Sus scrofa: one gene and its partners. The protein of the gene in region 3 interacts with the protein of the main gene of each other region in a pairwise test. Links are inferred from orthologs where the notes say so. Each region holds a gene or a part of one and is shown on either strand. Other genes may lie near its edges.

The links.
Region 1: the proteins of PRKAB2 (region 3) and PIAS2 interact in binary tests that used the Homo sapiens proteins (3 or more experiments, as listed by UniProt). The link is inferred for Sus scrofa from reciprocal best matches to the Homo sapiens genes PRKAB2 and PIAS2.
Region 2: the proteins of PRKAB2 (region 3) and STX19 interact in binary tests that used the Homo sapiens proteins (3 or more experiments, as listed by UniProt). The link is inferred for Sus scrofa from reciprocal best matches to the Homo sapiens genes PRKAB2 and STX19.

What each region holds. Positions count from the first base shown.
Region 1 is NC_010443.5:96,542,981-96,547,203, reverse strand, and holds the start of PIAS2 (E3 SUMO-protein ligase PIAS2), read left to right. Parts: upstream 1-1,423; 5' UTR 1,424-1,599; coding exon 1,600-1,623; intron 1,624-4,223. UniProt on the Homo sapiens protein: Functions as an E3-type small ubiquitin-like modifier (SUMO) ligase, stabilizing the interaction between UBE2I and the substrate, and as a SUMO-tethering factor.
Region 2 is NC_010455.5:165,857,123-165,861,362, forward strand, and holds the start of STX19 (syntaxin-19), read left to right. Parts: upstream 1-1,440; 5' UTR 1,441-1,714; intron 1,715-4,240. UniProt on the Homo sapiens protein: Plays a role in endosomal trafficking of the epidermal growth factor receptor (EGFR).
Region 3 is NC_010446.5:100,377,201-100,381,502, forward strand, and holds the start of PRKAB2 (5'-AMP-activated protein kinase subunit beta-2), read left to right. Parts: upstream 1-1,343; 5' UTR 1,344-1,369; coding exon 1,370-1,525; intron 1,526-4,302. UniProt on the Homo sapiens protein: Non-catalytic subunit of AMP-activated protein kinase (AMPK), an energy sensor protein kinase that plays a key role in regulating cellular energy metabolism.

The DNA of each region.
Region 1 (4,223 bases), on a different chromosome or scaffold from region 3:
ATGTCCCAGACACTTACTGGTCTACATCATTTGCCTACCTTGAGGCACACCCTGTACTTGATCTAACTGACCTGGAAATGTCCTGCAGTAGTTGCATTTATAGGTACAGTTCTGATCTAATTACTGTAGCAAGGGGGCATAGTTATTATTGACTTAGGTCAGTGTAGGGCAGCACCCAGAACTCTTTGCAGTCAAACCTACCCAATCCTACAACGAACACTTCAAACAGTTTCCGTGCAGCTCTGCCTCTTATGGTTTTATGTTTGAGTTGGTACCTCTTATGGGTTGGTGGAAGGGCTGTATTTTATCCTATTCATCTTTATATTCCCCTAAAGCTCCTAGCCTTCATTTAATGTCTGTCGAACAATATAAAATGCCACTGAGGTGGAAGTTAAGACCTAAAGAGAATAAACCAAGATTAAATCAACCTAAGACCATAACGTTAATGGTGGAGAACCAGAATCAGAACCTATTCTAGATACTGTTGATTCTCTGAATTAAAATGGGGCATGAGGGTTTAGGGAAGGTCTTCCTGAAGAAATGATACTAAAACTGAGTCCTGAGGGATGACTAGGAGTTAGGCAAAGAGGTAGAGTGGGAAACTCTTCTTGGCCCAGGGATCAACATTAAGTGTCTTAAATGGGAGCCACTTCTCAAAGCACATTTCAACTCTGTCCTTGGTCCAGCGAATTTTTTGACCAGCTTGCCTCAGCATCTTCTCTCATCCTTTGTCAGCACGTCAGGGGTGCTGTGAGAAACTTCCTTCCATCCGCTCTGCCTTTGACATTTCATCTTTCCCAGCTATCTGATTTCCCTGACCCTTCGACTTCCTATCAGGGCCTTTCAAGTTGCTCTCCTATTTCACTTCTCCAACCTCTCTGCCCCAACCCTCTCGACTCTGCAGTCTTTGACATTCAGTCGCCCTTCAAAGTCAGAGAGAACTAGCCAGGTTAGTACTTTGAAGATATTAGCAACCCAAAGAGGTCTCACCAATCCCGCACCATTAGCTCAGAACCAGAGCTTAGTCAACATCCATGGGTTGTTCCACCACAACTACTCTGGGGGATGGCTTTATTTGTGGGTACTCCCCCAGTCCACGCCACCGTGGGAAAAGACACCTCTTCTTTCTCTCCATCACTCCCTCCTACAGGCCCGCCGGTAATGCTGCAGTCGCGACGGCGCTTCAGGTAGTCGGGCTGGGCCTTCGCGTGGGGAAGAGGAGCATCCACGCGCTGAGGCGGGGCACGGAAAGGCTGCGGAAGGCCGACACGCTGAGGGGGAAAGGGGAAGATCCAGGCAAGCCTAACGCAGCTCACTGGGAAGGCGGGCGGAAGACCCGGGCGGAAGGCGGTGGGCCGGTGGGCGGGGCGCCGGGAGGGCGGGGCCGCTTGCGCAGGGGGTGGAGCTCCGGCGCAGGTCACGTGACGCGCCCGGCGGCAGCGGCGGCGGCGGCGGCAGCAGCCGCGGCGTCTTTAGCGGCGCCCAGTGCAGGATGGTGCTGGAGGCGGCGGCGGCGGCCGTGGTGGCGGCGGCTTCGTTGGCGGCAGCGGGAGGGGGTGCTGTGGCGGCAGCGGCGGCGGCGCCCGCGGGTGGTATAAAATGGCGGATTTCGAGGAGTTGAGGGTAAGCGGGGGCGCGGGAGTGGAGTGCGGAGGCCGCGGGGGAGGGGAGGGGAAACCGGGGAGCCGCAGCGTCTCCGGCCGCCACCTTCTTGTTTCGAGGGGACCGGTTGGCGGAGCCCCGGGCCCGGGCCCGCGTCGGAGCGAGAGCGCAAGCGGGCGGGGGAGGGGAGAGAGACGGCGGAGGACGCCCGCGTAGCGCCGGGCCGGCGGGCCTGGGGCCCAGGGTAAGCGGGCCAGTGGGGTCCCGCCAGGGGTCCGCACACCTTGCACGCGGGGGCAGGGGCCCTGGGGAAGGCGCTCCTGGGGACCCGACTTACCGTTTATTTTAGGGGATGAGGTGGGGAGCAGGATTTGCTTTTCCACCTTCGTGAGGGGTGTACGTGTCCCTGGTGATTCCTAAGTCTACGGGCTACTCGGTGGGAGGCTGTTTTCTGAAACGTGAAGTTGCTTTTAGGAATTTTTTCTCATCGATGGCTGATGCTACCGTTCAGTCAGATCTGTCACGAGAAAGGCCCCTTCCTCCCACCAGTGCTTCCTCAACATCATAGAGAGAAGCATGGTCTTTTGGGGACCCTGCCTTCAATAATCGACCTTAAACCTTGCTGTTTTCTTAGTGCTATGGTAAGAAATCGGCAGAAGTCCGTGCTGTCATGAGGTTTGTTTGTGAACTTGTTTTTTGCTCTTGAACAATTTTCCTTCCTAGTCCTAGAACAAGGTCATAACTTTATTGTTGATACCTTTGTATAGTAGAGGTTTGAAATGAGCTGTTGGGGTTAGAACGGAAAAGATATTTTTCCTGGGGCTGATAATCTTCTTCAAAGTCCTCAACTGAGACAAAACTGTCATAAACGAGCCAGAATTTTTATGGATCGCTGAATTACTGGCGACATAAATGGGGTACTTAAGGACGGACACCCTGATTTAAAAAAAGTGTCAAGAGATGAATAGGAACTTGAAATTAAGTTAACCACAACTAATTTGCACAATACAGACATGTTTTAGGGTTACTTTTTCGGAATAAGAAGGAAAGGGGAATCAGGTAAAAGATTCAGTTTATGTTTGTGACTGTTTTTAGGAGAGCGATGAGAAGCGGTGGAAGGATATTGGCTGGTTACCTGGCTGGTATGGTGTACATCAGCAAAAGAATGTATTCATGGTTCTGATCTAAAGGGAAATTGTTTCGGTTTGAATAATGCCTACCTTTCCCCGCCTGCTGTTTCAAAAATTATTTCATTCTCAGTAAAGAGAAAAGCATATTAATGAATTTTATGCCTGTACTAGTTTATATACGGAGGACCCTGATAGTAGGTAAAGAGAGTTCATATTGATAAATGTGAGGGTTTTAGTGTCTTAGCCTCAGCTGTAGAGCTTTTAACACCTGTAGACCTTTTGAAACAACCAGGCCTGAGCCTCACCTGTGTAAGTTCATGCATTAGGTTTACAGTGGGTTGAGAATACTGGTTTGTAGTTAAATTTATTTTTATCTGCAATGTCGTCTTAATTTCTGTGTAGTAACAGATGCATACCACTTTTCCTCCTCTAAGATTATTTTGTTGATGAAAACTTTTCCAAGACCTGTGTTAGACTTTATAAATGTTGTTGGTCAAAGCTTAATAAAAAGTGGAGAATTTATTTGTTGGTTTAGGCCAGAAAGGGCACTCAGTGCTTAAGTTGTAGTGGAACCAGGAACTGGAAAGTGTTTGGAAACCAAGATATATTCTCCCTTTCTCTCTCCCTCCCTTCTCCCTTCTCTTTCCCACCTCCCATTTTGTTTTGTGAGTCAGCTTCATCATCTTTTTCTGTAAGTCAGCTGTCTCTACTTCTCCTTGTATTTATTGGATAAGAGTATGGACTGTGCGAATGCCAGAAGGGTTATCCACCCCAGTCTTTGCCTTAGCTGCTCAGTAGCATCCCCTCCCATCTTTTAGGGCTACACCCCTGCATATGGAGGTTCCCAGGCTAGGGATCGAATCGGAGCCACAGCACAGCCACGGCAACGCCTACACCGCAGCTCAGGGCAACGCCGGATCCTTAACCCACTGAGCGAGGCCAGGGATTGAACCTCATGATTTCTAGTTGGATTCATTTCTGCTGCGCCACCACTGGAACTCCAAGCATCTTCTATATTAAAAGATGTGCTGTATCTCTCTCGCTGTGCCCCACTGCAAAGAGTGATGATGGTGATGGCAGATAGCCATTATAATAAAGTGCTTATTACATGCCTAGTTCTGGTTTAAGCACTTTACATACGTACTTAGTTTGCACAACAGTTCTATGAAAAATTGAGGCGTAGAGGGGTTGAATAACCTGATCTAGACCACACAGCTTGATCCTGGAAGACCTAGGGATTTTTGATCTCAGAGGTCTAGCTTTAAGAGAAAGCACCCCTCAGCATCTATGGTGTACTGCTCTGTTCAGTTTCCTTCAGGTCCACTGTGTGCTCCTATTTATCATCTTGTGAATCTGTGAACTAAATTGAATGATAAGTAAACAACATGCTTCTTATGTGACATGTAATATTATAGGGAAAGCTGGACAACTGACCAAAAATCTAGTTAGAAAGGAAAAGGGGAGGAAACATCAAGGGTTTTCTAAATAGTC
Region 2 (4,240 bases), on a different chromosome or scaffold from region 3:
AATAAACAATGGCCCAGCCCTGGACTCATCCATTTCCCTAAGAAGCCTTGGTTCCTTTCAGTAGGAATTGGTATTTTAAAGGCTACAGTTTGGGTACTGAGTAACATTCCATTTTGTGTGTGTGTGTGTTCTCCATAATGACTGCACCAATTCACATTCCCACCAACAGTATAAGAGGGTTTCCTTTCATTAGTTTTTAATTCTTCCTCCCACTGTTTTTTTGTTAAATAATATAAACATATACATGGGGGGAATGGTATGTTAAAGACTATGATTTGGGCACTATGGATATTTACTGTTGTTGACTGGTTAGGGGTTATCAATGTGTGTGTACCTCTACCCCCTCTTTCTTCCTCAAAAACTAGTATACTATATATACTCCTGTGCATCATCATGCTTTTTTTTAAAAAGTAAATCCTAAAATTACTCTGAACCAGTACAAAGAAATCTTCTTTATTACTATATTCTTTATCAATAAGCCAAATGCTCATTGTATGGATGTTTCCTCAATTTTTTTTTTTTTTTTTTTTTTTGGCTGTGCCCTGGGCTAGGGATTGAACCCATGCCACAGCAGTAACCTAAGCCACTAAAGTGATACCACCAAATCCTTAACCACAAGGGAACTCCCTGGATGTTTCATCATTTATCGGCCACTGAAGGATTACATTGGAATACTCATGGGTTTTTTCCAGTGTTTTGCTTTTACAAAGAATGCTGTGAGGAATAGTGTGTGAAGATGTTACTTCTTATTCTGGGAACAGACTCCAGGAAGTTGGACTGCTAAACAGATATTAGATATAGATATTATAGCGATGTCCCTCCTCTTACCCTCAAATCATAACAAGTCAGGCAGAGAAAAAGAAATGGAAGAAAATGTAGTAGCACAGAGAAATTTCATTTCCGATTTTCCCTACAAAGAATGAATTCTGAATTGTTACATTAATGTAATAAACAGCATAACTTATATACAGCAATGCACAATATTTTCCATATGGAAAACTATGAAAGAATCAAAAGAAAATTAAAAAAATTAATAAAAACAGCACACATAGTAAAAAGAAAAGATAAGGTAGAAGGTTTACAGACATGAACTCTTTTCTGGCTGTTGTAGTTCTGAAATTTGGTAATTTTTTGAGGTAATTTTTTAAGCCCTTGGAATTCCCTAAAATAGAGTAGAATTCAATCATTTTAAAGTAAATTAAGCAAAAAGCCTTTGCCCAAGGTTCTTTCCATTCCTATTTGTTCCAAAGTTTTCATACCTAAAGAAAAAAAATTATGAACACTCTTTTTTTGTGAGTAATGTATTATATATATATTATAGGATTGAAATTACAGAGCCTGTGCTAAGTATTCCATTGCAAGCAGCTTAATAAGGACTGCCTGCTACCAACTAGCTCCAAGGAAAACAATCTTTGTTTAATCTAAAGAATAAGCAGCTAACAAGCAGAACCAGATTCTCCAGGTGTGAGGTAAGCAATTTGTTCTCATTTGATATTAACAGCAAAAGGACGACTTTAACTTATTTGACTTCAACATGTGGCTTTCAATTAAGTTACCTAAATGAAAATCATACAGAAATTAGCCTGTGAACTAGAAGACAGAGATTTAAATAATCTTAATAAAACATTAATGTTACAGATGATACTCAGGTTTTCTCTCAAAGGCAGGACTCCAACTGCGTAAGTGGAAAAGCAACAAGAGGAACAAGACAAAGGTAAACAAACCATTCTTTTTTGTACTTTTAACTGTGAGACATCCAGGGACTGAAATCTGTGACATAAAGAGAGCTCAACAGATAATTAAAGTTATTGTTTTGCTCAGATTTGGACCAGGCTACATGTGGCTGATCTGTTCATATATACTACTGATATGCTGAATGAGATTTGGGTTTAGAGTTCCTGGAAATAGACCACTATAATAAAAATCAACTTTTTATTTTAAGTTTCTTTTAAAAAGTATCTTTTCATTTTGGAAACACAACAAAGTTAGATGCTACAATAACAAACTTAAAATTCTTTCCTCTATAAACAGACTATATAAATTAGTCATACTGTGCTTGCTTTACAGAACACTTTTCCATTTAATTCTGAAAAGTTTATGCCCAGTTTGACACATATGTGTAACCTCTAAAAATTTGAGATAATTTTCTAAAAGATCTTAATTAATTTCTTCATTGTTGTTTTCCAGGTTCTTTAAAATTAATCTGAGGAACTTAAAAAATAATCTTTTGTAAAAGGACTACTGTAAAATAAAATATCAAAGTACTCACTTTTAAATGTTTCAGCTAATGTATTTCAAGTATTTAAATTATAAAAATGAATACACACTTTATATTTGATTTGATAATTTAAAAAATTTAAGTCAGCATCATTTAAATGAAACACATACACTTTCAAAATTAATCAATATATAAAGGCTTAACCAAAACATGTTTGTTTTTTATGTCTTCCAAGTTATTTCACAATTGTTATCATGTTAGATTTTAACATATAACCCAATTCAAATTAAAATAAGAATTACAATTAATAAATATTTTAAGGGTAGACTTGAAAGTTGGCTATGTAATATCTACAACAAATTGTCTTTGTGGCTATACAGGTTTAAATTTAATATACATATCATTTTATATCTGTACAGCTTACTTTAATCAGAGAATTGAGTGTTCAGAATTATGAGTCTTAATATTTAAACAAAAATGGTCTTATTGTTACATTAAACAAGTTAATCTAATGGTTAACTTAATTACCCTAAGTAAAAAGAATTTAAAAAGAAATGAAAGGCTGAATTATTAAAAAAAAGTCATATAATTTAAACTTAGAATTTACATAATTTGCAGTAGTTTTTTTTAGTTTTCCTCATTTAAGTGGCTAAAAAGGTGAATATTCCAGTAACTGCTAATTTCACCTTGAATTATGGAAATGTTGAAAGCTGTCTTCATACACAAAAGCAAAAGAATATTCCATTTTATGTTAAATAAAAACTGGCTACATTTCTTGAAATATTTAATCTACATAGTAACTATAAAAAGAAATTTCTTTAAAATATCAATCTATAAAATACCTATCCCAGGGCATATTTTTTAAAGCACTAGATAATTTTAATTCATATTTCTGTTCCTAGAAATGTTCCCTGTCTGTAATAGGGTGGAGAAACTTTTATTTGAGTCATACAAGTTTACTTTGGTATTTCTCAGAACAAATTGTCAAGCTTGATTATCATATCTATAAATCAGTGTTCTTTCTTTTTGCAAATATCATGTTAAAGCTCAAAGATATAGTCAGCTATTAACAGAATTCAAAACCATATAGCAGGAGTTCCCATTGTGGCTCAGTGGTTAACGAACCCAACTAGCATCCGTAAGGACGTGGGTTCAATCCCCAGCATGGATCAATGGGTTAAGGATCTGGCATTGCTATGAGCTATGTTGTAGGTTGCAGACATGGCTGGGATCCCGCATTGCTATGGCTGTGGTGTAGCCAGTATAGCCAGCGGCTACAGCTCCCATTGGACCCCTAGCCTGGGAACTTCCATATGCCTCGGGTACAGCCCTAAAAAGAAAAAAACAAAACAAAACATATAGCAAAGCAGTAAGTTAAACATGCTGAAAGATGACTCATATTTGATCTTTTCTGATATTAAGAAAATAACTTTCATGTACCGAAAAGATTGCATAAAATGGTAGTCTCATCAATTTCTCTTACCTAAGCAATCAAATGATTTTACAACTATGAACTTAATATTTCATGCCTTCATGAACTTTGTCTCTTCCAATTTTTAAATTCTAATATGCTCATATATCTCACTTTGCTTATAATTTATGAAGACATAAGATTAAACAATTAAATTGGAAATAGTTATACGTGCAGTAATGAGTATACAACTACTGGAAAATGCAATTTATGTATAGCATGTAAGTGTTACCAGAGTACCTACATTACGTCAATTCCTTAATGAATATAAGGAGTTAGGGAACATTCTGAATTGTAAACTCCGTAAAGATAATCACCTATGACTTTCAATGAGGATGCACAGATAAAGAAATTCCTCTCTCTCTCTCTCTCTCTCTCTCTCTCTCTCTCTCTCTCTCGCTAGAAATGCGAGACGTGTTTGATATAATCTTAAGGGGGAAAAAGGACCAATCTTAAAACTACCTTATTACATTTAGAGTAAGAAAGCGAAATTTCCAGGTGCCAGAAGTGAAGAGTGAACACATTCAGAACAGAAATTAAAGCTAATTCCA
Region 3 (4,302 bases):
AAGACTATGACGAAGAATCAAACCTAGAGTTGCTCTCTGCCAGCTGTCAAAGCAGGGGTTCTTACACTTTAATGCACACACACATTCCCCTGGGGATCTTGTTTAAAATGCACATTCTGATCCTGTAGGATGAGGCCTCAGATTCAGGATGTCTAACAAGCTCCCAGGTGACGCCCATGCTGCTCCTCACTAGAACACAGGCTGAGTGACAAGAGCTTCCAGTAGGTCATGAAACATGCGTGCGTCTAATAACACAAAGGAAGAATGAGTAAATCCCATAGCAATCTCATTAACTATCACTCAAAACGTGAATGAGTCACAACCTGAGGCCTGTCGCTGCCCGTTTCTGCCTTAATGTTCTTTCTGATGTTTCCATTCTTTCTTGAATTTCATTTCTTCAGGGGTTGCTCATACCAAGTGCTGTTTCTTAGCCTTGCAGGGCTTTCTCCTTCTCCTTAGACGAAGTTTAACCATTTGTCAAGATTTATCTCCTCATCACTCCTCCTTCCCCGCGGCTCCAGTCCAGCTGACTGCTTCCCACAGCACTTAGCAATTACCACTACTTCCTCAGCCTTCTGTTGGAAGCCCGCTTTCTTGATTCCTGTAGAAACCCACCTCTCAGGGAAGCCCCCCAGAAAGACAACATAAGAAAGAAAGGCAAAGTCGCTCCTCTGGGTACGGAGCCCTGGAGTCACTCGGGGACCACCCCCTCCGGAGGGCAGGCCCTGGGGCTCAACCAACCGAGTCTCAGCACAGCCTCGCCAGTGAAGCGATCTCAGCCCTGCGTGCCGCGGACTGCGGAGCGGGCGCCCCCGCGTGGCCCTGGAGGCTGCGCGCCGCTGCCCACCATCGAGCCGGCGGTGGCTAGAGAGGCCGGCGGGCCCCGGGCGCCGCGGTGGTACGGCCACAGGGAGTGCGCGCTAGGCGGGCACCGCGCCGCTGGCCTCGTGGCCATTTTAGGAGGAACCGCGGCTCGCTAGCCCCGGGCGCGGCTTCAATTTCAATAACTTTATTGGTGGCTTCTCAGCGGAACAGCCATCGCACCATTGGCCTCGGGAGGAGGGAGAATTTACAGGAGGTGACTGGGCGGGGGCGGGCGCCCCTGGACTGTGAGCGCAGGGATGAGGGGGAGTTCCCGAAAGCGAGTTTCCTGAGCCGCCGGCAACCAGGGGGTTTGGGGGTTCCGGGCGCTTCTGGAGGCCGGGGAGGGGGAGGTTGTCCCCCGGGCACGGCCTCCCTGGGGCGGGGATTCCCTTGCCCGGGTCCCCAGGCACAGGGGCGGGGCCGGGGGTGCTCCTGACGCAGCCGCCGGGGTGTTCCTAGCCTTGTGTTCCGCACGGCAGGTGGCCCCCGACTCCGAGCTGCAGCCATGGGAAACACCGCCAGCGAGCGGGTGGCCGGGGAGCGCCACGGCGCCAAGGCTGCTCGCGCTGACGGCGCGGGCGGCCATGCCCCGGGCAAGGAGCATAAGATCATGGTGGGGAGCACCGACGACCCCAGCCTCTTCAGCCTGCCCGACTCCAAGGTGAGCGCTCCCACGCCCCCAGCGGGGGGCGAGGCTGCAGCAGGGTGGGTGTCGGGGCTCCTCCTCCGTTTGGGGATTTCTTTCTTATCACACTGACCTGAGTTATGGTTTTGGGAACTAAAGGCTCTCTCGGGGACTGCGATGTTGAATGATCATTCCTTTCGCCGCGCTGCCTCAAAATAGCCCGGAGGTGGAGTTCTTGTTAGGCGACTCCTCTGCTGGCCGCATTTTCGGATGAGGACAACAGACCTAACTCTTGGTTCTCCCAACAGACACGGGTACCCTTTGCTAGGGTATCGATGAATTTGTAGGTTGTGGGCCTTGGGGAGGGTGGATTACCTGAGGGCCACATTTAGGTGGCCGTTTCTCTCATCTGCCCTGAGGTGGGCAAATGAATTTCTGTTTCCTGACAGCTTCTCTGTCTGAGTATCATCTTTGCTCTTCTGAGAGCTCAGCATTTCAGATCCCTTTTCCCCTTTGGCATGGCTGTGAGTGGCAACCACGTGCTTATTTGAATAATTTCTCCTAGTGGGGGTCAACAAAGGACATCATTTGGTGGACTGCTCATTTTCATCTCATACTTTATAGTTATGGTGGCTGAGCTGCTTCTTTCTTCCAGCCGCTACTCAAGAGCCAGAGCAGGTTAATTCCAGAATTTCTCCACTTCCCAGTAGTACTTCATCATGTTACCACCGCTGAAAACGAACAATCCACAGCAGCCTTGAAGACCTTGTTCTCAATTCCAAGGACTTGTTTCAGGGAGGAGAAAACTTGTATTCACCCCACAAAAAGCAAAGTTGGAGCTGACAGCAATGTGATTACCACCTGAATGTTTCTAATCCCTTTTAGAGCTGCTGGCATTAAATACATTAATTCCTCCAGGTAGAATAAAATGAAGTAGAAAAACAGATTGAGCAGCTGGGGGGTCTGTTTGATGTTTCTTGTCACTTATCCCTTCCTACCAGTGTGGGGTTTTATTTTATTTACTTTCCTAAAGAGAGAATAATTTGCCAGGTTGATAGCGTGGGAAATATGGATTCTCCAGTTTATTTTTTCAAGTACCAACTGAGAACATAATCACAAAAAGAAGTGAAGATGTTTTCTCGGTGTTTCTCCTCCATTCCTTTCTTTTCCCACTTCGGGACTTCTTTCTCAACATTTGGGCTGTCTCTTCAGCCATCTGAACTTCTTCAAAATTCTTCAAAGCTTTCTTTCAAAGCTTTGTACCCACTTCCCTACATTGATGACTCAGGATCTAAGTAATGTATTATTTGTCAAATGGTGACTGCAGTAACTGGCATCCTGAATAAAAGCAGGTTGCTCTATTTGAAATGGAGTCTATTTGGATCATTCTTTCCCTTACCTCAGTCTTGCTATTCATGAAATAAGAAAATGGATTCAGATAATTCTTAAAGTCTCTTCAGAATCTAAGATTTTATACTCAATGTGCTCTCTTTATTTCTTCCCTAAATGTTTCACTTAAACATTTTTCAATTGTAGTTGTAATTATTTTGCCACTTTTCCTGAAGATTTTGCTGACTATTGAACTTGGAGTAAACAATCTTTCTGCTAGTCAGCTGCACTCATGCCTGCCACAGAAATGTCACGTTATCCGTGGAAGGGCTTTCTTCCAAAGCTAAGCATATTAATAGTTTGTAGCTTTCAAATTCTAAACTGAAAATACTAAATCATACAAGTAAATGATAGAAACAGTGGCAGTGGGGCCATCCTCTTCAGTGGACTAGTTACTGGTTCTCAATTAGAATAGGCTGGAATTTGTTTAAACACTTCATGGAAAATTTGAAACACTGTCCATGTTTCAAAGCAGGGAGAACAGTGTGATGAACTCCTGTATAGTTGTCATCCAGTTTAAACAATGATCAAATCATGAATGAATTTGTACCACCTATATACCCCCATCCACTCTACCCTCACCAATTATTTTGAAGCAAATTCCAGACTATCATATCAAATATTACTTTATTAGTATTTTAGGATACATTTCTAGAGATGAGGTTTCTTTATTTTTAACATAATCACAGTGTTATTGTCTGGAAAGCTTTTTAAGAATAGACTCCCAGACCCTATATTTGAATCAGAATCTGAGGCATTTGTAATTCTTAGGCATATGTAAAAATTTCTCTAATTCTAATGCAGCCTGTCAAGCAAGAACTCATTGCTTTGAGAAAATGGAGATCAAGATTTTTTAGGAGCTCCCGTCATGGTTCAGTGGTTAACGAATCTGACTAGGAACCATGAGGTTGCAGGTTCGATCCCTGGCCTTGCTCAGTGGGTTAGGATCTGGTGTTGCTGTGACCTGTGGTGTAGGTCAAAGATGCGGCTCAGATCCCACGTTGCTGTGGCTGTGGTGTAGGCCGGTGGCTACAGCTCTGATCAGACCCTTAGTCTGGGAACCTCCAAATGCTGCGGGTGGGGCCCTAGAAAAGACAAAAAAAAAAAAAAAAAAAAAAATTCTCTAAGCCATTTCCTTATATAACGTGGAAGTCCCTTCTTTTTCTCTGTTTACTTTGGATTTATGCTGCTACTGGTGTCTCGTAGTGTAGTTTTGAGGAATATGGAGAGACAGTACAGAAGGTAGACTACCTCTGCCATTTTTAATGTAAAGCCCATATGAACAAACTAGTTTTTTTTTTTTTTAACTCATTTTATCTGGTAATATTTTGGTTTAATACCATACAGTCTTATTTACCTATTTACCAAAGTCATTCAAGCCAATCTAAAGTGAGAGTCAGCAAATATTTTCTGTAAAAGGCCAG